Caenorhabditis elegans: one gene and its partners. The protein of the gene in region 2 interacts with the protein of the main gene of each other region in a pairwise test. Each region holds a gene or a part of one and is shown on either strand. Other genes may lie near its edges. The genes, in order: rnf-1, sdz-12, ceh-18 and ztf-15.

Region 1 (5,327 bases), on a different chromosome or scaffold from region 2:
GACATCTTCTTCGTCTTCATTCTCTTCTTCATCTTCATCTGATTCCTCTTCATCATAGGAATATTCCAAATCAGCTTCATATACAGCTTCTTTCACTGAATCGCACAAAACTTCGAGGTCTGCCTTCGTGGCTTCTGATAATAGCATTATTTTTCAAAAAATCGGTAGGTATTTAATTTCCTCACCAATTGTACTAGTTTTTGATACATCGCGAAGTTGCTCGAATTTTGCCATCAGATCCGCTTTCACGTCAGCAATCAAAAGTCGATATCCTTCATCGATCAGCTCGTCAATCGTTTGCTCCAATTGTGGTTGGGCGGCTTGTTTCATTGGCGGCTCTTCAGGCTTCTCCGGTCCAAGGAAACCACATTTTCGAATCAATTCTGGAGAAAATAGTGAAAATTAGCTTTTAGAACATTTCGTTTTAGAATACAAGCAAGGATACATTGCATAATATTTATAAAATTGCGATAAATGAATTGAAACCGATTTTTCATTCCCTGACTCACCCATAATCGCAAAATTGGTCGAAACAGCCGCGATATCACATTTAGTCTCCGCGCGACACGACGGGCACTCCAAATACGCCGAATTTCCGTATTTTTGCATTGTTTTGATACATTCCGTGCAGAACGTATGTCCGCAATGCAAACCACGAGCCAGCTTTGTCGTCTCATTGTAATTCTAAATTGGAAAGTTTAATTTTTGAACAATAAAACAAGTGGGGCACTCACAGTGCAGCAGACTTGGCATTTGAGAAACTCCTCGAGAAAATCACCTATCAGCGGGAATGCAGGCGACGCAGCCGAACTATCTGGAATTTTCGAATTTTGGAACCAGATCTTATAAAAACGAAAAATTACCTGTTACAGATGCCACATCCGCAGGCATTTCACTTTTTGTTGCGGACATTTATGGCTGAAAATGCTAAATTAAGTAGGTGATTTTTGGGAAAGAAAGGAGAAAAAAATTCAAAACTTCTTCCAAAACTTTCTACAGTAATCTTAAAGGCACATGAACAACCATGTTTGAATTATGATTTCGCGGCGAGACCTTTCCAAATAAATGTGGTTCCCTTGAAAGTCCTGAATTTTTGAATGAGAAAAAAAAACACTTTTGAAGAGAAACAAAAGCGAAAATAAAATAAAGGAAATCGCACAGATTTTTCAGGGGAAAACAAGAAGAGATCTTTATTTTCTCTATTAAAACATGTAAAACAATACAAAAATTTCAGGCGGAGACGGGATAAAATTGAATTATATAGTAATTTATTCTTCATTCAGAAGAGCAGAGAGCAGAAGAAATCTGTGAAGAACTCTGCCGGCTTCTTCTATGTGCGAATTCGGAAAGTCTTCAGTGGAAACTGAGCTGAGTGAAGATTCATTGTCGGAGAATTCTTTTTCGTCGTCGGAAAAGTCGAGGTTCCCGTTTTCCTGGAATTTTTTTCTTAATTTCAGCTGTTTTAGTTTAAAAAATAGCCGTCTGACAATAAATTTACATACATCTCCAAAAAGGCAGCGAAAACTTTTGTACGTCTCCTCTTCATCTGTTTCAGGCATAACCAATGTGGGATAGTAGTCATCGGAACATTCGGAGATATTATCCTGAATTAGAAAAAAGATTAACAATCGAATTCAAAGTCCTACTAACGTCATCGGAAAACGGACAAAAATGATCATTCTCATGATTCCCAAAACTGCCGGAAGTTGTGGAAACCTGCGAAATGCTGTCGTTGTCCTGCAAACATTTTTTCTAAAATATAAACTTGTCGACAGTGACACTTACATTTCCAAAAAGTCCTCGAAAACGTCGGTAGGCGGCCGCCTCCTCAATACCTGAAACCACACCTGGATCATCTAGTTCGTTTTCCTGAAAGATTTTTTCTATTCTAAATGTTTAACTCGATGAAAACTAACGTCTCCAAAAAGACGACGAAAATTGCGATAGAAACCGCCACCCAGTGTTCTGTCCGGGACAGTAGTATTTGATTCTAGAAAATCTGTTGAGTCTTCTGTAGTCTCAGAATCGCTGTCCTGAAAATTTTCAAATCAAGGGAGCATGGAAAATATCAACTAACTCTTGCTGCCAAGAACCTTAGCATAGTTCGAACTCGCTGATCCTCAGAATTCGCATCAGAATTGTCGTCAGAATCGTAATAACATTCAGAAACAGCCCCTGCCAAGGCTTCAGCCATGTTGCTGACCTCTCGCTCGGCTTCTGCTGAAAAAATTCAGTTTTTATAGAAAATACTTATACACATTTGGCTTTGCCTAGACTCCATAGCTGTGATTTGATGCGGAAAACGTCAAAATGGTGAATGAGACTGCTTTTTACTTCAACAAGCAGCTCGCGGAATTTATTATCAATCATTTCATCTCTATTCGTTTTATTTGAGCAGCAACTAGAGGAAGTTCGCGGAGCGTCAACTGGAGGACCCAGAAGCCCGAAATTCCTTGCCAATTCTGAGAAAAAACGTGGATTTCAATACTCAAAAGAGGTAAAACTTACCCATAATTGAAAAATTTGGTGCTACATTTTCGATGTTGCTTTTAGTTTCCGCACGGCAAGTAGGGCACTCTAAATGTGGGGAATTACCGTAGTTTTGCACGTTTCTGATGCATTCTGTGCAGAAAGTGTGGCCACAGTGCAAGGACCGAGCCAATTTTGTGGTTTCATTAAAAGGCTGCAAACATATTTTGTAGAAAATTGAGTAAAACTAGGAAATTAGTACCTGATAGCAGACTTGGCACTGGCAGTACCCAGCCAAGACTGTTGATAGAATTTCTGGATTTTCGGTATTTTTTTCTGAAATGAAATTTAATAAATTTTAATACAAACTCGAGATTGTCAATCTTACCGCTCATTTTCACGGAGATAAATACCTAGAAATTCTGAAACAAAAAGAAAGCTGGAATTTGCCTGGACACAAGCCTGGAAAACAAAAACAAATTTGGGGAGTCTAGCGGAGCGCGTTTACTGTAATTATTTTTGTCTTTTCAAAGTTTTTCATAAAACTAAACTGAATTGTCATTCCTTTTTTGTTTTTAAAATATAAATCAGTTTATTATAAAAAAATTACATTATTAATAATATTAATAATTATATATTGCGACACAAATTTTTCTCAAATTTAAAATTATTTCAGAAGTCAAGACGAAAAAACAAAGCTATTCATTATTCGAAACAATTTTTATTCGATTTTATGATAATATATATATTATTAAATTCCAAAAAGACTGTAAAATGTAAAACTCTCTCTAGCGTAGCATGTGACTTGTCGATTCCCATAAAAAAATAACCATTTAAACATCCGCGCAAAGAAATTCGCATTGGAGCGCACCTGCCTCACTCGTGCTTGTTTCGTTTTTTTATTCTCATTCAATTTCACAACCGTTTTTATCATTATTTTCCGGAAAATCTTAAGAGTTTCTCGTTTAGAATCTTATAAATAATGGAACGTAAAAAACACAAACGCCTAAATGATACGATTATGAAGCCGGAGGACATGAAAAAGGCGAAACTGAACCATAAACTCCCGACGACTAGTGGAGGCACTGGCGGACCGTCAACTTCTGGAGGAGTTAAAGCGAAGTTGGATTTTAGATCAAAAACTTGTATTCCACCAAAGCCAACGCTAAGTAATTCCGGTAAAAATTTTCAATTTTTCCCAGAAAACACCTAATAATTAAACAAATTTCCAGCAAATCCATCCCTACAATCCAGCCATCTCGTTCGCCCCAATCTCGATGATCAATGGAAAGATTTTGGAGATACAATCAATTTAAACATCGAAACCTTCCAGAAAAGCGTACAGGAGGCGATTTTAGCGGGCCATTTTACAAAAATCGCTAAAATGTTCGTCGCCGCGCTCAAGAGCTTCTTTGTCGGAGAAAAGTTGAAAGTGGAGCTCAGAATAATGGGAACAATTGCGGAAACCGTAAAAAATCATGGGGATAAGCTAAATGTTGGTTCAAATCTAACAAAAACTTGGAGAATAATTCTAATCATTGAAAAATTTTCAGCAAATTCCTCTCCACCGCGCTCTGCTCTTCGTAATTTGCAATTCTCGATCATATCCTGACAATATTCTCGAACTATTCATCTCAATAATCACTTCACTTGCAAGGCAACAACCAATTCTTGATAAATGTTATCTAACAGCATTTCTCCATGATTCTATTGGAATGAGCGTTGGACTCGGCACAATGAATCGATGCTCCTGGATTGAAAAAGAGTGCTCGGCAGAGCTTGTGAAAATGATTTTGGATCCGTTTGAAACTGTCTATCCATTTCCGGCAATGTATGCGCAGTGCCAGGTTGAGAATTTTGCCATTTCCGAATTTTTGAGCTTCTTCTCTGAAAAAGTGGGGAAGTCGAGGGAAAAAAGGTAATAAATTTACGATTTTTTAGAAAAAATTTCGCTTATATTTTTCCTAATTTAAACAGAAACAAAAAGCAGCATCTACAAACAACGGTGTAATACTAGCTGAAAAGCATTTAAAGTTTATCAAAATCTCAGAAGAAATTTTTATTCTGTGTTAGAAAAGTGGAAATAAAAAAAACAGTTTAAAGAATAAGTCAAATTTTAATTTTAATACATTTTTGATTTCAGTCCCCGCTCGAATCTTCACCAAAAGCAGTTAGACGTCTTTCTGGAATTCCTGAAGCCCTGGTTCGACACAATTCGCGGTGAAGTTCTTCCAAAACCTCTTTTCCGTGCTCTCTGCCTTCTCTGTGGCTACGAGCACATTCGTCTTTTCATTGCGAACCGTCTGGAAATTTGGATAACTCTTCAGAAATTCCATCGAGAAATCAGTGAGCTTTTGCTAGTGATCGGGTCGAATATTAACGCGGAAAACCACGAGTTGGACAAGGAAATCATCGATATTCTACTGAAATTGAACACGAAAAATATGAAAACACGAACTGTGGTTGGACCATTCACTCAAGCGATTAAAACGATTTGTGAGGTGTCAAGGAATGTCGAAATTGTATTGGATTCACTTTTTATTAATGAAACTGGACCAGCACAAAATAGATCTCCCACCAATCTACAAACAATTTATATGATCCTTCAAAATCAACCAACAGAAGCCACAAAAGCTCTAGCAGTAATAATATCGAAGGAATTGTTTAAAGAAAAGGAAAATTGCGTGAAAATGCTCAGAGCTTTCATGCGAGAGCTCATTCGTGGATTTTATCACTCAAAATCCGGAGATTTCCCATTTTCAGTGTTTGCGGAGACATTATTCAATAAAGTTCAGCGGCGAGGAGAACCGGTAAATTTAGATTTTAATCCAGGAACCTTGAAATAAATAATAAAGAAA
Region 2 (4,790 bases):
TTTCCTGCAAATCCGTTTCCTTGCTGAGCTCCTGACTTGGCCCACCATCTATTCTTTCTGCTGACAAAGAAGCTCCCATCGCATTCAATAACTCCCCTAAAGTGTTCTGCGCGGCGTCTGCTGACGTTGTCGCTGATTCTACCTTCAGTCCACAATGTTTCTCTTTGAAATGAGCAAGGAGTCCTTGAACACTGGCGAACGGAGCTTTACACTTCTTGCACCTGGCCTATGTGGCGACAGAAAAGATGTTCGAGAAGTATCTTTTGCGAACTGAACTTCATCTCGCACTGACCAATAGGACACGTGAGATAGTTGGTCTGCATAGGAGCTGGAGAAGCGGCAGTTTCAGTTTCCAGATGACTTTTCATATGACTGACCAGGCTTCTTTGGTAATTGTATTTCGATCCGCAGAATTCGCAGGTGTACCTCTGAAATAGATAAGTTAGATAGAGTTAGATAGAGATAGATAGATTATGATGCCAAACGCTATCTATTAAGCACTAACGTCTTCGTAAGAAGACAGCCCAAGTCCACATTTGGTGTTCCGTATGTGATTGCTCAGAGATTTCTGAGAATGTAATTACTTGAACTGTTGCACCTTGCGCAATTCCTGAAAAAAAATGGATCCTTTATTAATTAATTTGTGAAAATTTTACAGTACCTGAGAATAAACTGGCACAAGAGCTTGAGCTTCAGGCAGGTCCATTGATAAGAGAGTAGAGGTGAAGGAATAAATGAACCCGCGCAGAGTGTTTTGGTGGGGCGCAATTATCGATTTGGCGCGCGGTATTGGCAGAGAGCAAATGGGAAGGAGAGTGAAGAAGATGTAGATAGAAAAAGAAACTATGCGTAGTTTGATCTACCAGTCCTGTATTCTGAAGACCAACTAATTGTTTGATTACTCCATAAAATCAGTGATCACGATAGAATAGGGTACTGTAGGTTACCGTAGTTATCAACAATTATCAGTTTCCTTCAAGGGCGAGAACGAGATTCATTGAGTACTTTTAACAAGAAAAAATATTAATTAAGCAGTAGAATCTTATCAATTAAGTTCCTATGCCACCAAAATCATGACTCGCAGTGATGATGTGCATGGTGAACACGATCTTATTTCCACATTCTGCTCCACAAATTGCACATTTGAATGGGCTTCCTGGCGCGTGAAGGGCGTTATGCATGATGCTCATTGTGGCATCGTGGAACTTGATCGTGCAGTGCTTGCATTCCTGAAGAGCTTTTGAGTTGATGAAAGTGTACTTTGAAACTTAAGAACTTACAAAGCTTGGGGTTGGCTCACTGGTAATTAGATTTCTAAACCTTGGCTCATTGGGGCTTAGAGTTGGTGAGAGCTGTTGATCAGTGTTTGGAAGAGTTGCCTGAAAATTTCAAGTCTAATGGTTTCAAAGAACGGCACCAAAACCAATATTGAAAATGAAAACATACCGAGTTCTGTTCACAGAATTCTTCGATCATCGGGGAAGTTCCTAGATTTATGCTCAATTTTTGAGGCGGCTTCTCTTGTGGCGAGATTGCCAACTGAGCTCTGGGACTTCCTGAAGTTGATACGGTGATAGGTGACAGTCTGGCGGAGCTTGTGGGAGCAGGAGCCGAAGAGCGCAGAGCCTGAAAGGATTGTTAAGTCTTAAAGAATTATAAAGCTTTTCACCTCTTTATGATCAAAATGGTAGTGTACCAGGAGATGCCTAGGACTCCCGAATAACTTGTGGCATTTTCCACACGGAGCCGATTCGCTGTATGAAAAGTGGTGATGGTTTACGAGATGATTTTCAACGCCCTCATAGAATACGAACTGCATTGAACAGTTCAACACGGGACAGTCGAAATGTGATCTTTCCTTGAGATGGTTGTGCAGGTGCCTTTGAAGCTGAAAATTACAAATTGCTGGAATTGAACAGGAAAAATGGAATAAAATCTGCTTGCCTGATCTTCCCTGAAGAATGTTCTCTGGCAAGTGCTGCACTTCTTGGATTTTGAACCAGAGTGAGTTATTTGATGACGCTTCAAGTTTGGCTTGTTGGTGAATTGTTTCTCACAATTTTCACATCTGAATTTGTGATTGACCTGAAAAAACGTATAGTTGGAGGAGGAGAAGCTCAGTGGCTTAAACATTTTCTCAAAAACTCACCACATTGGAACGTCCAGGCCTACACGTAATGTGCTTCATGTGCGTTCTCAGCGTTTTCTGAAAAATGGTAGTGAGCTCTATATACTAACTAGCAAAAAAAGGAAGATTATCTGCTGTACAGTAAATTTTGTAAAATTAAGATAAATTAACAACACTTTTTTGCTCACTTCAAAAACTAACCTGATTCGCGAACTTTCTTTTGCAAACTTGACACTGGGGCACCTTAGCAGAATCCTGATCCAAAGTGGAAGAGGTTGCAATAAGCGACAATACGGCGTCTAGTGATGACAAACTCATTTTCACAGAAGAAATCTCTGCGGATTGTCCGAGGGCAGGGAGGAAGGGGAGTGAGAAATGTTTTTGCGTAGTTGCAAAAAGAGGTACATAAGTTCAAAGACTGTGTCCTCGAAAGCTGTGAGAAGTTGCGTCACATATGACGTTGGGGCTTTTGGAGAAGCGGGGCCGACGAATTTATGAAATGTGTGTAATTGCACATTGTAGAGCTGATTGAGTTTTTCAGTATCTCAGTTTTTTCAGTAATTTCTCCATTGACGATGCACCTTCTTTGGGGGGAATATTGTAATCTTTAACAAAATTCACAACATTTTTGGAAGACCAGCTGCCAACTGTGCCAAATTTGCCGGGAAACGAGACGCTGCATTATGCATTATTTTATCGATCCACTAAGATTATCTCCTAGCGTTATTCACTCATAATCTGCCTCTACAAGTCTTCCTATTCGTCATTTTTCTGCAATTTAGTAGGTTAGTAGACATGCTCGTTATAACAAAGGAATTTGTGTCAACTTACACTATTAAAGCAATCTCCAACTTCAAGCCGGATACCACTTATTGCAGCGAGGTTAAAGAATATTACTATATTCCATGGTATTTTTAACTTTCCTTTTTTTATTTAAATTTTTATATTTCCAGGAAACTCCATGTCAATCGAAGAACTGATCAACTTGAGGTGTATCTTAGTTGCGACCAACTTGGCACAATTTGGTCAGTTCAGGCGAATGTTGAAGTGAAGCTTAGATCTCCCAATGAATCTCCCCACTGCAAAACAGCCACTGTAAATTTCAATAGTGAGAAGCCGAAGGAAAACTCATGGGGATGGAAGCAGTTTGCCGATTGGGAGAAAGTCGCAAAAAACTTTGTGATTGAAGATGCGCTACACTTTAAAGTTCATGTTCAAATATTGAACGCTTCTGGGTTCAAGGGAAGAGATCCGGTTTTGAAGTTCGACAATGAGTCTATGGGAGAGCTGTCCGATGTGGTTTTGGTAGTGGATGAGCAGAGATTTCATGTTCTGAGAAAGCATCTCGCTCTGCAGTGCTCCTACTTCAAATCCTTGTTCTTTGGCAGTTTCGGCGAGTCGAAGAAATCAGAGGTTACCCTCTCTGGGATAGACCCGGAAGCCTTCCAGGCATTTTTGGAAGTTCTCTATTTGGAGGACTCGATTGATGGTTAGTTTTTAGTGCTCACATTGGTAATAATTTAAAAATTTCAGACAATACCGTCGAAGGAATCCTTCAACTTGCTGACATGTACGATTCTAGAGCGGTTATTGGGAAATGCGAGAAATTTCTTTACAAGGAGTCCGAGAAGTCCGGGAAAAAGAAATTGGAATTGGCAATTAGATACAAGTTGGAGAAACTAGAGGTAAGTGCGTGCACCTGAATATAACCTTATTTTATCTTCCAGATTCACTGCTGCAACACCATCAAAACCATCCAAGATGTCCGCTCAATTATCGCTGGAAACATTGATGAAATGAGCCCATTCCTGATGAAGCGGGTCTTGAAGCGAGTTCTTGAAGTTTAAAAATTGTTCGTTTTCAAATATGAATTGCATTTTTCTAATAACTGATTTTTGGCCACTATTTTTTCTCTGTTTTCAATTGTAAAGTTTTATTTGCCAGTACAAAAAATAAATTTACGTTTTCTTTATATTATATTGATGAGAAAATTTGAAGACTTACAGAAGAAATTCAAATCATGAACCAGACCAAACCAGAAAAAGTCAAGTCAAGAATTCAAGAAACTTTTATCTAGCATTTCATAAAGTATTTTGATAAGACATATACATAGTTATATTTTGTGGAGTTTAAAAATATAGTTTTGAAAAGTGAAGTTCAAAAACATAGAAAAATAAGAAGTTAGAGGTTTCGAAAATAAGCTTAATTCGAAAGACTCGAAAAAAATCTCAAAAACTGGAAAAAATTGAAGATTTCAATCGTCGGACGGTGTTTGACAGTAACTCGTCGTCGTCGTCGTAAATAGAAGTAGTGTTGATTAGAAAAAACGATGGAATAAAGAAATCAGAACCTCCAAATAGAAAAAGTTCCATGAATGTTTTTAATTCGATAGGCACGCATGCCATGAACATCAGATTCCTCGGCTGAATTAGGCATTAGTAGCTCTGGGCTAGAGTGGGGATAATCATTGTAAATGTAGAAAATGAAAAGTTCAAGGTCTGGATTCAAAGCCTTTAACCCAGAGCTTGATCAATAATTTCAAATTGGAATTGGATAACGGGGTAGCATGGAGTGAAATCACTGGATTGTTCATCAATAGTAGGTCGTTAAGAGTCACAGAGAAGAAGATCGCAAGGTTAGAAACGTTGTGAAATGTTGTCCA
Region 3 (5,661 bases), on a different chromosome or scaffold from region 2:
CGCTGCTTTCCCCCGGCTTTTTCCCCGTTTTATGTATGCAACAAATGTTGCATCGGCAAACGGATGGAGTGGAATCTCTGCCCGAGTGGGTGCTACCAGTCGTCACAGAAAAAACATTGAGAAGGGGACCAAATGGGGGAAAAAAGAAGAAGAAGCGTTCCAAATGGGTGGACGGGCGTAGAATGGCACACGCCAAAAAATATTTCTCCTCTCGTTCCAGCTATGTATAAATCTGAGGCAATTGAAAAAAAAGAAACGAAAAACTAAGGGGAATAGAAATGGAACGATGTGAAAAACAAGCAAATCTGGAAGTGCTCGTCGAAAACTCGAGTCATTCAGTGGGGTCGTTTCTCTCATACCCATACACACGCGAAGCACGGACCGCCGGCGTTTTCGTTCCGTAAAGGAAGATCTCATCTTTTTGTCGTCGTCGTCGTCGACTCCATTTTCAGGACCAAAACGACGATGCTCATTACTTATTCAATTACTCAGCGACCGACGGGTCATGATACTTATTGAAAAATGCTGCAGCATGATTGGGTCAGCCAACCTACTTTCTTTATTTCCAGAGGTCTCTAATTTTGAAAAAAAATTGAGGATGCTCAAAAATGTTCAGAGCTGCTGTAGTTTGATACAATTTCAATGTGAATATAGAAGTTATGAAAATTAATTACAAAAGTAAAGGAAAAAAGAACTGAAAATACATTCAAAAATTTTGTTTTTTAATTAAAAAAAAATGATAAAATGACCTGACTGAACCTTAATCCAAAATTAAAATACTACGAAACAAAAAATTTTTACAGCGTGGGAAAAGTTGGAAAACGTGAGAAGAAAAGGCTTGAAATTTAACAAATTTTAGTAATTAGAAAATACACTTTTGTGCTAAAAAGGTATGTATAAAAAGTGAAGCAGTTTATATACAGTGGCAGTCGCTGAAAATAGTTAGCGACCGTCATCTCAATACTGTTTTTTCCAAATATCTTTTCGGTCAAAAATGATAAGGAATATCTAGTTGAATCAATTTCTAAAGTTATTTTTACGATATTTTTTTAGTTATTTCTTTATGAAACGGTCATGAAAATAGACATTAAAAGTTCTAATAAATAAAATTTAGAACATTTATTCAAAAATGTTAATCTTACTGTTTCGAGCCCTTTCTTAAAATTAACTATGCAGAATTTCTAGATACAGAAGAGTAAAATAAAATAATATGTACACATTAACAATAACAGTAAAAATCTATGTTAAAAAATAAATTAAAAAAATACTTTTTAAATAAGACGATGGTTTAAATTTTTATCCATATTTGAAAATGTAATTTTTGAGACAGGCAACAAACTGGTTCGTTTGGAATTTTGCACTAAAAACTAAAAATTGTTTTTTCCCTAATAAGATGATTAAAGATAAAAAATAGGATCATGCCCAGAACAGTAAATTAACAGTTTAAATTAAAATTTTTATCTTGACGAATCACTAAATTTCCCAAGATTTCGCCTAAAAAAAGGACCAATATGAAAAGTTGAAAACACAGAACGACGCGGCTCGGCTTTCTCCTCTGCCTACTTTTAGTTTTGTCCTACATCATAAACAAGGGCCAACTCCCGAATCTGCTTATCTCGATACCCGCATCTCTTTTCCTTTTTAGCCACCCCTTTATTGCATTATCCCACACTTTCATTGCACTGCTTCATCTTGAGAAAGCAAATGGATGCGATGGGCTGGGATGGCCGAGTTGAATTGGAAAGGTCTGATTTTGGGTCCGATGAGAGTGGAAAAACATTACTGACTAATTTAGATGTGTGGTATTTTATAACTATTTTCATAGCTTTTTTAATCATTTTAGTATATATAAAGTTTTATGAAACAGCTTAAATTTTTTTTTTCACTGATTGCAAATAAAAACGTATTTGAGAAAAAAGGTAACTTTAAAAGCCAATTGGAAAGCAGTTTGTTTTCAAAAGACTCACCTCTTCTTCCTCTTCTTCGACCACTTCTTCTTCTGGGATTACTTCGTCTTCAGTGATGATCCTCTTCACCGGTCGACTTTTTCGTTTGCTGGCTCCCGACAAAGATGGACTGACACGTTCTGTGACAAGGCAACCACCATTGGCTTCTGAAAAATGTGCACAAGAAATATGGAGCAGCATCTAGTCAGAAAAGTTCCTTTTTTGAGCAATCAGAACATGTTATCTCATTTTCACGATGCCAATCAAATTCGCGCAGAAGTTTTTTTTTTCGAAAGCTAACATCAACGACGCTGAACTTGAGTTAATCTGTGTAAGTAGTGGAACGCGAAAATAAGGACACACGGAACGGTGATCAATAGATCAAGTTTTGATAGTACTTTCACTACTGTGATTTTTCAATGAAATGATAAACTTTTAATTGATAATTTGGAGTTACTTATTTTGTGTACATTGTTCTACAAATCAACTTACAGTATTTAATAACTGATCAACGTTTCAGTGAATGTAATTGTCAAATAACTCATTCTAACAATTTTTATAATACTCTAAGATGGCCGAATATCAAAATAGAACACTCCATAATTATTTTGGTGAAAATTCAAGAAAAACATTTGAGCATTGCTACACTTACATACATGTTTTCAAAATGTTAGGTCAAAACTAAATTTTAACCACTCTTTGACTGTAAAAAAATTGAAAATTCTTTCAAAATGTTTACTGTAAAATTTTTAGCGCTATGAAACCGCTTTTTAAGTGTAAATGAGTTTTGGAAAATGTTTACCGTCAAACTTTAAATTTTTACAATTTTTTTGAAAAGCTGGTAGCGTAACATTGGAAATTAATTTTTGTCTGAAGTGATTTCATATCGAGTATCCAAAATTTATTTTAATGTTTTGCAAGTATTATAATTTTTTGAATTTCTGACAATTTTCTATACAGAAAAATGCATTCAAAAATTCAAAAAAACTTTTGACCCTTATTTTCTCAAAAGTTATTTCTGGAGTTGTTAAAACTAAAGTTGATAATTTTGAGTTTGCTACTCCAAAAAATATTTAATTATTTTATACATACCATTTCGATTTTAGTATACACATGAATTAGTTTCTTAATGTACATATATTTCATTTTCAGGCTCAAAAAACAAGAAAAAACCCAACAAAACTGTTTTGCTCAAAAGTGCAAAAAGTTTCACTTTTTCATCAAAAAACCCATACAATTTTTGAAAAACGCCTAATTTTTTTTTTTTTTTACACAAGTGAATTTGGATTTTAAAACTGCAAAAAAAGAGCATCTGACCAACATTTTTAAAAAATTGTTGCGTCCAGGTAGACAATCATCGCCTATAACATACCGTTGTCATTAGCTTTTCACGAAAATCAGTCAAAATGAATTATTACAGCAACGCGCTTGATTTGTGACCAGACTCCGAAGAGTCGACAATTAGAAAAAGAAACGGATATTGATAAAGCATCACCTACCGAATACTTCTGCGAGAAATTGAAACGTGTTCTCCAAGGTGTTCATATTTCTTGCATTGATGATATGTGTTGTGAGGATGATGATAGAGACTTTTTACGTCTGAAACAGAGACACTGTTGGATAAGACCGACAGAGAATGTGGTTTTGATAGATGAAAATTAAAAATAAATCGAAACTGTATAAGCTGGAAGGTGAATGAAGGTATGACGAATCAGAAAAGATTGACTGAGAAAAGAGAATCGAGATAAACAAAATGTAATATTCCGTCAATTGAGAAAAGAAAATGAAGAATGTGTTTCATGTGAGCAAATCGGCGGCATGGATCAAGCGAAACGCGTGGGGGCCACTCATTGCCGACGAGGGTGATCGCATCGGCGATTCAGGAAAATGAGCCACCCTAGAAGTTGTAATATTGGCATAAAATCAACCACTCTCGGGGTGGGGAGGAAAAGCCGAGCGGCACCTAACTAGCTGACAGCCAAGCGTTCTAGTGCGACTTGTGTCTCAGTATTTTTCAGCCAATTGTCGCATGCGCCTAATGATTCGATCTGATTTTTCTGCGGCTACTGCTGCATCGCGTTCAGCTCTTCTTGTTATGATAGCTCTCGACGAAAAATGTGGGAGAGGAAGAGAAAAATAAAAGAAATGAAGTGAATTTCGCATAGGACACTTTGTTTAAAACAATTTTCGAGTCCCTGTTTTTCGCATCACTTTTCTTCTATTATCTAAGTTATTCTAATATCTAGGAACGAAACTAGGGTAAAATCTATCGCGTCCTAATTTGAAATTTAAACTTCGATGTTGCCGAACTGTATGAGATCATAAAGAAAATTTGACTGATAAGCTTTGAATAACACATTAGAGTATTAAAAAACGCCAAATTTGCATATGATAAGAAGAGAAATTGGTTCTGTAGCTCCGAGAGTGCCTATGTTTGTCACTTACACATCATTTTCTGAAAGTATTTGCATTCTCACTGTTGAGAAAATTTCTAGTTGAAGCTGAAAAAACAGTTAGCTCTGTAAAAATGGAGAATGTGAAATATTCAAAAAAGATTCTTCGAAATACATCTTGGAGATAAGATGATATGATATCTTGTGTATGAGGCTCACTCTTCCCGGCCATTACACTACACATTCATTACCTAGTCTTTTGAGCACCACTTGGCTCATGAATTCGAGTCTTCACAAAATTACGTAGGATGACAGACAACACAACTGCTAACAAAAAAGACGACGCCCCGCCGGCTTGTTCGGCAGTCAGGCACCGAGGCATTTTTGATTATCAAAAGATTTTTGATGGATTTTATTGAGTGATTGATTGTGGGGGGATAAAATGTTGATTCGGGAGGTGTTGTTCTGTTTGGCAAGAAAGAGACAAAGAATTGGGAAGGAAAAAGGGATAAGACGGAGAATAGGTAGTAGTATGAATGAAACATGGAGAAACAGATGCGATATCGAGAGGTCATCAGCTTAACGAAATGAGCATTGACACATGAGCCCTAAAGTTGAGGCAATTCGAAACGTGATGTACTTCTCTTGATTATCTATTATCTTTTCCTACAAAGTCCCCATTCCTTCAAAAGCTCCATTATCTTTTTTTGTTTTCAGCTGTACTGTAAAACGAGGAAATGTGGATGATCGCACTGGTCGGATTCATGTTTAGCCAGTAAAAGGCAAAAAGGCATTGCGGCGGCCAGATCTGTGGGCAAAACCGCGCAGTTGTTCAAATATGCATATTAGATGGCGTCGATTTGAAACGACGGTGCTTCTAGCGCTGCTCCTGCCCTGCTGACACTCTGGATATACGACATTTGCCTATGCAAGCGAAAGAATGCCGTTTGGCCGGCTCCCCCCAAAAAGCCAAATGGCTCTATGAATAATCACAATGAAGTCGTGGTGGACATGTATGTAGTCGTTGCATGGTCCCAAGGAAAAATGAATAAAAAAGTTGGTGAATGGCGGAGAAAAATGAAGGGGCGCGTGGAAAGCGTGGGGGGGGGCATGACTAAATGGACTCTCATTTGACTATTCACCGTGCTAACAATGTGCGGCCAAAAGTAAAAGTTGACATTTCGAGATTGAGTTGGCAAAGAGCGAGTTGCGTTGAAAATGAGCATTTAAAAGGGAAAAAACTGTACATTTCTATCGTACACTCGTGTTGATGTGAAATGTAATTTTCACATTCACAGTTCTCTTCATCACAACATTAAACT
Region 4 (6,348 bases), on a different chromosome or scaffold from region 2:
TCGCATGCGCGGTCAAGTTGTTCGTTCGGCTACCAACAAGTAAATTTGCCCCCTGAATAAATTTCCATGGTCCCCACACACAAAACTTCACTTCCCCATTGACCTTCAAAACCTCTCGTCGATTTTCTTCCTCCTGTCCATCATCTTTTTCAGCAGTGCTGCACACACAAATAATTTCTCATAGTTTTGTATTTTCCCCCACATATCTTGTTTATAATCAAGTTTTTCTCAGTTTCCTTTTTCCTAATTGTTAAAGTTTCAGTCTCAATCATATTCTCTCACTCTCTGTTTGAACGATTCGCGCGCCGAGTCTCCGTTGATCTTTAAATTCTGTTGATTTCTCCCGACGCTCCACACGTCTGAAATTGATATAATCTGAAAGTCTCGTTGACATCATAATTCTTTCGATTCTAGCGATCGACCCTCCACATTATCAATCAGTAAACTGCCTTCCAAAAGCCCCAGGCTCTAGAAAATCAAATCAATTCAAAAAACGCAAACGGTGTGTCTGTCATCATCATCATCAACTCTTCTTTTTCAAGAATAAAGTTGTAATTAAGACTCTCTTATGTAAATACAATCTCTTTCTTTCTTTCTTCTTTTCTATTTACTCTGCACAAATGATGATAAGACACCAGGATCTGGCAGGATACTTCACTCAAGTAGTACGGTTTCGCGCTGTGGTTTTTTCCAGGAACTCCCTTTGCTTGGTAAGAATCACAAAACGTTTTCTTCTTGTGGAATGTTGAAGAACGAATAATAGTAAACATGGAGTTTAATTGAAGAAGGTTTAAATCTAGAAGACAGAACGTTCAAAATTTTATTGTCTGAAAAGTAAAGAATAAAGCACAAGGGAGCAGTACATAACATCGTATTAAGAATTATCTACTTTCTCGAGAAATGCGGTTGAATAGGAATGAAAATTTCACTTTCTTCTACGACGAATATTTGTACATTGTCCATGTAATCGTAATTGATGTCTTCTTCCGAATATCTTCTCGTAGTTGTTTCATTTGTAGATCTATTGTTCCTGCAATGCTGGTCATGTTGTAGCATATGTGATATAAATTCATTACATATAAACTTACCATCATATTATGATCATGGAGAGCACGATAGTTTGGAAGGGTTTCAGAACAGTTGTTGCATTGAAACATTTCTTTTCCGTGAGATTCGTGTCGATGTGAGCACAACGCTTGCAGGTTATGAAAGGAGGCGTGGCAATCTCGGCACTGAAATTATAAATTCTCAAACGTTATTTTTTAATTAGGAAAATTAACAAACCGTCCATTTCTCTGGAGTATTCGAATCTAGACGAACACGGGATGTGATTTTTCTCTGCAACGCGGCTCCATTTGTATCGCTCCTGTGATGTTGTCGTAAAGAAGAACTTCCCGGTTGTTGAATATTATCAAATACGTTGCCGTATTGACACGTCTTGCGATGTTCAGACAGAACATTCAAATTTGCAAAAGTTGCTCTGCAGTCAGGGCACTTGAGAACTGATATATTTTGAATATTGAAAAGTCTCTTATCTCGGATCTTGTATGGCTTGAAGCATTCGTGACGGTCAAGAGTGGTTCGATCGATACAGTTTCGGCCACATTGTTGGCAACGGAAGATTGAGTATTCCATACTCATATGACGACGAATCGAACTTAGTGTATTGAACTTTTTCGTGCACACACCACATGTTAGCATTGCAGTCAATCCATGAATTTGCTTCCGATGATGAAGAAGACTTGCAACACCGACACAGAACTTTCCACAGATGGAACACTGAAAACTTATAATGTAAGAACAACATATTTAGAGCTTCAATTTTGTAAAACATAATGATACCTTTGTCAATTTTCAATTTTTCAATTTTTCAATAGAAATCAATTTTTGCCGCAATATTGCAGATACAGCTACAGTAATCCTATTACGTATTCCCTTTTAATACAATCTTATCATATGAATCATTCACTTCAAAATGTTAAATTTACATTCTTTGGTGATAATTTAGATTTTAAGACATGATTACTGAAAGAAGTATGTTAACCAAACAAAAAGATTTAAAAGAAATGAAGTAATCTACCGGAATATTGACCAAATTCCCAGTCGAAGAAGATGAGGATGAAATGGTAGCATCAGCATCTTCGTCATCGTCATTGTCGTCTTCTCTTTCAGGTTCTATACCAAATAAATTGACATCTGGAACCACGCTGATCTCTCCTTCACGTGGTCGTCTGTCCCGCAACGAGTTGACATCCAAATGTACATCAGAAAGAGCTGGAGTAATGTCTGGACAATGCTTCTTGTGATAATCAAACCAATATTCATTTTGATATTTTTTATGACAGTTTGGACAGCTTATGGTTTGATCTAAAAGCGCAGGAGGAAGTGCAGTAGATGAATTACACTTTTCCATGTGGCGTTCGAACCAAAAACTCGAATTGTATCTTCGGTAGCAAACATTGCACTTGAATTCCTGCAAAACAATGTTTATGTCCCATCTCTGACTGAAATTTATTTTTTTTTTGTAAAACAAGAAAAAATAATCTGTTAAATTAGTTTATATTTTCAATTAGTGAAGTTCTCGCAAAAACGTTTCACTAAACATTCTCCACCTGAATTTCGTCCGTTGTTTCCAAGCATTTGGTTCTATGTTTGAGCAACCAATGATAGTGTTGATATTTCTTTCCACATAATACACAAGCGAATTGGAAACGGTCTTCTTTTGATTTTTCATGATTCTCATTAGACAAAACAACGCCACCAAATTCTTCATCTTGAATCTCTTCTTTTATTACTTTTATTTCTTCCGCATTTACACGTCCCGTTCTTCTTCGTTTTTTATCGTCGATTGTTTCATTTTCCTTACATCGATGCTTTTCCAAGTGCCATTTGCTGGCAAACGATGTATTGCAACCGTCACAATGATATACTTTGTATTCTTGACTTAGATGCAAATAGATATGTGTTCGCTTCGAAAACTCTTTTCCACAGAGACCACACATCATCATATCTTTCAGTGAATGTTCTTGATGACGATGATCAAGAAGACAGCGAATGGTTGAAAATTTGGATCCACATATTGAGCACTGAAATTGAAGAATAAAATCATGTTCAGAATGTTATGCTTTAGATTTTGAGAAATTTGATGGTTGGTACACACTTTTAAGTTGTAATAAATAAATCTATAATAGTGATATGGTATAATAGTGATAATAGTGAAGGTTTTTGTTCATTTACAGAGAATGAGATATAGAACTAAAATGAACTAACCGAGCAATTAACAATTGGATCTCCTCCTCTTTTTGTCCAATATTTGGCAGAGGGTTTCGATGTCAAATTACTACGCGACTGCCGGTTTCCTCGTGGGGTCCGTCTTTCTTCGATACTTTCATCGGTTTCATCGCTACTGTCTGACTGATTTAATAGTGTATCAGCACCTTCACAACCATAGTTGTTCAACACGTTTATGTATTGGACGCTGTTGTCCTGAAAATGTTCATTAGAAAATGAATTACAGTTGGTTTTTACACTATGGAAGCGATTATTCCACGAAAATGAGCCATCAGCTTGGTTGTACTGAACTCCGGACGGATTTTCGAATATTGAAAGATATTGCTGGAATTCGAAAATTATACAGCATTTTTACCAAATTTATATTTCAACCTCATCTTGCATTTCATGCTTTGGATCTCTGATTTCAACTTTATTCAATTCCTCTGTGACTTGTGAAGATGTGGATGGCACGTTTTTAGTCTACAACTCTAACTTTATGTTGAGGTTTCAATGAAGATTAAATACCAAAGATGGTCGAAGTGAAGCTTCGTCGAAAATTGCTTTGATATGACGAAGCAATTTTTCATCAGGCATGTCATGATAAAAACTGCCAATTTCATTTTCGACATTTGGTAAAAGCTGAAACTTTTTGCAAAATAAGTTGATTAAACACTAGCGCTCACCACAGTCTGATCTGATTCTTCCATTTTTACAAGAGGATGGCTGGAAAATATTTTAATTGTAATTTTTTCTAAATTCTTTTTTAAATATCACATTTTATGCAAAACGCGAAGAAAACAGTTGATGAAACAAAACGAATGTGCAACTATTTAGATCTAACTGTGATCTATTGCAATACTTCCCTTTAAAGGCGCATCAAATTTCTACCGTGATGGGTCTCGCCGCGCCCAATCTCGAATATCACGTTCAAATTTGGAAAGCTTTCAAAAACTGAAAACTTCGTTTAATTCAATTTGTTTTACCAGAAATAAATTAGATGCACAATTATTAAAGCTCCGAACGAGTTTATTCACATGATATCAATACAAAAGACAATAAAAGAGAGCAATAAGAGCACGAAATACAAATTCATTGTGTTGGGCTACTTTTGGTTGGCGGCAAGATCACAGGCCTCATTGAACTTGGAAACCGCCTGTCGCCATCCCGATGCTTCAAACTTTTCATTCCAGATTTCCGAGAAAGACTTGATCAGGATATTCCAGTCCGGAAGTGAATCACACGAAGGGATGTTGAGGAATCTGTTAATGACATCGTAGCAAGCATCGCGAAGAATGTTGCGCCTCTTGATGTCGACATTTAACGAATAGTCTCCAACGCTAGCTCCAGTCAACTGTGCATACTTTCCTGCAACAACGACAGCCATTGTTGCGGCGAATCCGAAGTAATCGGCTTGGTAAGTCCAAGAACGACCGTCAACCATTTCCGGGCAATCAAACGCTTCTGTTCCTGCTCTTCCCTTGAAACGCTGGTTCTTCAGTGGCATCATGTCAATGGCACGTCCCCAGTCGATAATCTTGATGACAAAGCTGTCGTTACTCATCAGAGCATCTTTGCCCCATTTATCATCGATCCTGAAAAAAGATAACGTCTAAAATTAACAAATGTTTTCCCATACTTTCTGGTGATCATAAAATTATCCGGTTTGATATCTCCATGAATAATTTTAGAGGCATGGACTTCCTTCACAACTCGGGCCATTTGGGTAATCAAGAAGCAGGTTATGTGCCAATTCGGATCCTTCATGTTATTCGCATATTCAAGCAGCGTTCCATATTCGTGGTACTGATTAACAAGAAGCGAAGCAGTTGAATAAACATAAGCATCCATCACTTCCATAATGCAACATTTGGCCATCAGCTCCAAACCTCGATCTTTCAGGCGATTCCGCATTTGGTCGCAAATGTACACTTCCCACGAACATGATGGCACCTCGTACTTCACAGCTACTGTCCTTTGATCATCGGTTACAGCCCGGTATACTTTAGCGTATCCACCTTGACCAATAAGAGTTTGAATGTGGAGCTTTTCTCCGCTAACCTCGCAGTCTCTCAGAGCTTGAATCTTCGGTGCTCGTTCTTGGAACTCGTGCATATTCTGGGGAGGACGCACAAGACACATCAATTTTTTTCGAAGAGTTTCGTCCCATGGATTGATGTCTCCTTGCTTGATAATTTCACTGCGCCGACGAATCTTGCAACCAGTGATTTCAGATTCGTTGTTTTCAGTGAGATTTGGAATTTCATCAGCACCAATTGAAAGACGTCTTCCTAGATTAGCTGTCAAACAATCGATAGATGAATCTTTAGGATCTGATCGTTCAGGCTTTGATGACTCTGTGACTGAGGGCTGAACGGCTTGATTTGCTGCTAGTGACTTTCGACGTGTCTGAAAAAGTTTGAATAGTATGTCGAAAATTTGTCTGGCACTTACTAATTTACTGAAAGTACTGCTGGTTGGAGCAACAAATACTGGAGCTTCCTGTTCGTGAGTGCTTTCCTCCTCTTTATTTCCGAAATATTCATCAATGTTGACCAAATGAACTCCTTGTGCGGGGGTCGATGTGACGAAATTACCACGAGACGGTTTGAAAAAGCCAAACTCGATTTCATCGTCATAAACTAAAAATTAAAACATAAGTTGTTATATTTTTCGATAAACCCACTATCATTAAACATTGTAGCTGGTGAGGTTTGCGTCACTGGAGAAACTAGGACAATTTCGGGTTGTACTTCAGATTCCTCAACTTTCTGAGATTCTTCCGGTTCGGCTGCCTCATCGTAAACAACATTCAACCCATTCGACACTTTTTTCGGACGCTCCTGTGTAATGGTCATTGTCGGATCAGGATCACAGAGCACGGAAAAGTCAGTAACTATCTGCGTAGTAGCTAAAGATCTTTCTGGAACGAAGACAGAATCATCGCCAAGGACCATTGTCTTTTCGCTAGCAAGATGTACAGTGTCGGAAAACATAGCATGTGCCTCCAAACACTTATTTTCCGCCATCAAATCCAATCCAGCTCCACTCTTTGATGTTCTTGCAGAAGCAGTTGAA

What was found.
Region 1: the proteins of sdz-12 (region 2) and rnf-1 interact in a two-hybrid assay, tested with the Caenorhabditis elegans proteins (one large-scale study listed by BioGRID).
Region 3: the proteins of sdz-12 (region 2) and ceh-18 interact in a two-hybrid assay, tested with the Caenorhabditis elegans proteins (one large-scale study listed by BioGRID).
Region 4: the proteins of sdz-12 (region 2) and ztf-15 interact in a two-hybrid assay, tested with the Caenorhabditis elegans proteins (one large-scale study listed by BioGRID).

Annotation. Positions count from the first base shown.
Region 1 is NC_003279.8:6,008,607-6,013,933, forward strand, and holds rnf-1 (RING-type domain-containing protein), read right to left. Parts: upstream 2,981-5,327; 5' UTR 2,865-2,980; coding exon 2,858-2,864; intron 2,806-2,857; coding exon 2,732-2,805; intron 2,684-2,731; coding exon 2,509-2,683; intron 2,463-2,508; coding exon 2,271-2,462; intron 2,221-2,270; coding exon 2,078-2,220; intron 2,034-2,077; coding exon 1,917-2,033; intron 1,870-1,916; coding exon 1,786-1,869; intron 1,738-1,785; coding exon 1,651-1,737; intron 1,605-1,650; coding exon 1,503-1,604; intron 1,434-1,502; coding exon 1,269-1,433; 3' UTR 1,176-1,268; downstream 1-1,175. Other genes in the region: C06A5.8 (RING-type domain-containing protein), read right to left, coding at 1-134, 186-383, 510-684, 735-814, 864-912; ints-1 (Integrator complex subunit 1 RPB2-binding domain-containing protein), read left to right, coding at 3,452-3,647, 3,702-3,964, 4,023-4,387, 4,613-5,279.
Region 2 is NC_003280.10:3,729,103-3,733,892, forward strand, and holds sdz-12 (Zinc finger protein sdz-12), read right to left. Parts: upstream 2,722-4,790; 5' UTR 2,447-2,721; coding exon 2,330-2,446; intron 2,207-2,329; coding exon 2,150-2,206; intron 2,086-2,149; coding exon 1,945-2,085; intron 1,889-1,944; coding exon 1,670-1,888; intron 1,627-1,669; coding exon 1,447-1,626; intron 1,380-1,446; coding exon 1,281-1,379; intron 1,230-1,280; coding exon 1,050-1,229; downstream 1-1,049. Other genes in the region: bath-31 (BTB domain-containing protein), read left to right, coding at 2,924-3,036, 3,082-3,617, 3,662-3,813, 3,856-3,975. UniProt on the Caenorhabditis elegans protein: Together with ehn-3, may play a role in gonadogenesis.
Region 3 is NC_003284.9:3,854,253-3,859,913, forward strand, and holds the start of ceh-18 (Homeobox protein ceh-18), read right to left. Parts: upstream 3,546-5,661; 5' UTR 3,492-3,545; coding exon 3,446-3,491; intron 2,115-3,445; exon of another isoform or gene 2,114-2,114; coding exon 1,968-2,113; intron 180-1,967; exon of another isoform or gene 1-179. UniProt on the Caenorhabditis elegans protein: Directs gonadal sheath cell differentiation and function. Also directs gonad migration and plays a role in specifying the differentiated phenotypes of epidermal cells during postembryonic development.
Region 4 is NC_003279.8:7,253,159-7,259,506, reverse strand, and holds ztf-15 (C2H2-type domain-containing protein), read right to left. Parts: upstream 3,997-6,348; 5' UTR 3,981-3,996; coding exon 3,957-3,980; intron 3,913-3,956; coding exon 3,799-3,912; intron 3,754-3,798; coding exon 3,664-3,753; intron 3,616-3,663; coding exon 3,529-3,615; intron 3,487-3,528; coding exon 3,271-3,486; intron 3,087-3,270; coding exon 2,613-3,086; intron 2,474-2,612; coding exon 2,081-2,473; intron 1,780-2,080; coding exon 1,285-1,779; intron 1,233-1,284; coding exon 1,089-1,232; intron 1,039-1,088; coding exon 886-1,038; 3' UTR 808-885; downstream 1-807. Other genes in the region: myo-1 (Myosin-1), read left to right, coding at 1-43; Mitotic checkpoint serine/threonine-protein kinase bub-1, read right to left, coding at 4,376-4,865, 4,910-5,679, 5,725-5,912, 5,957-6,348.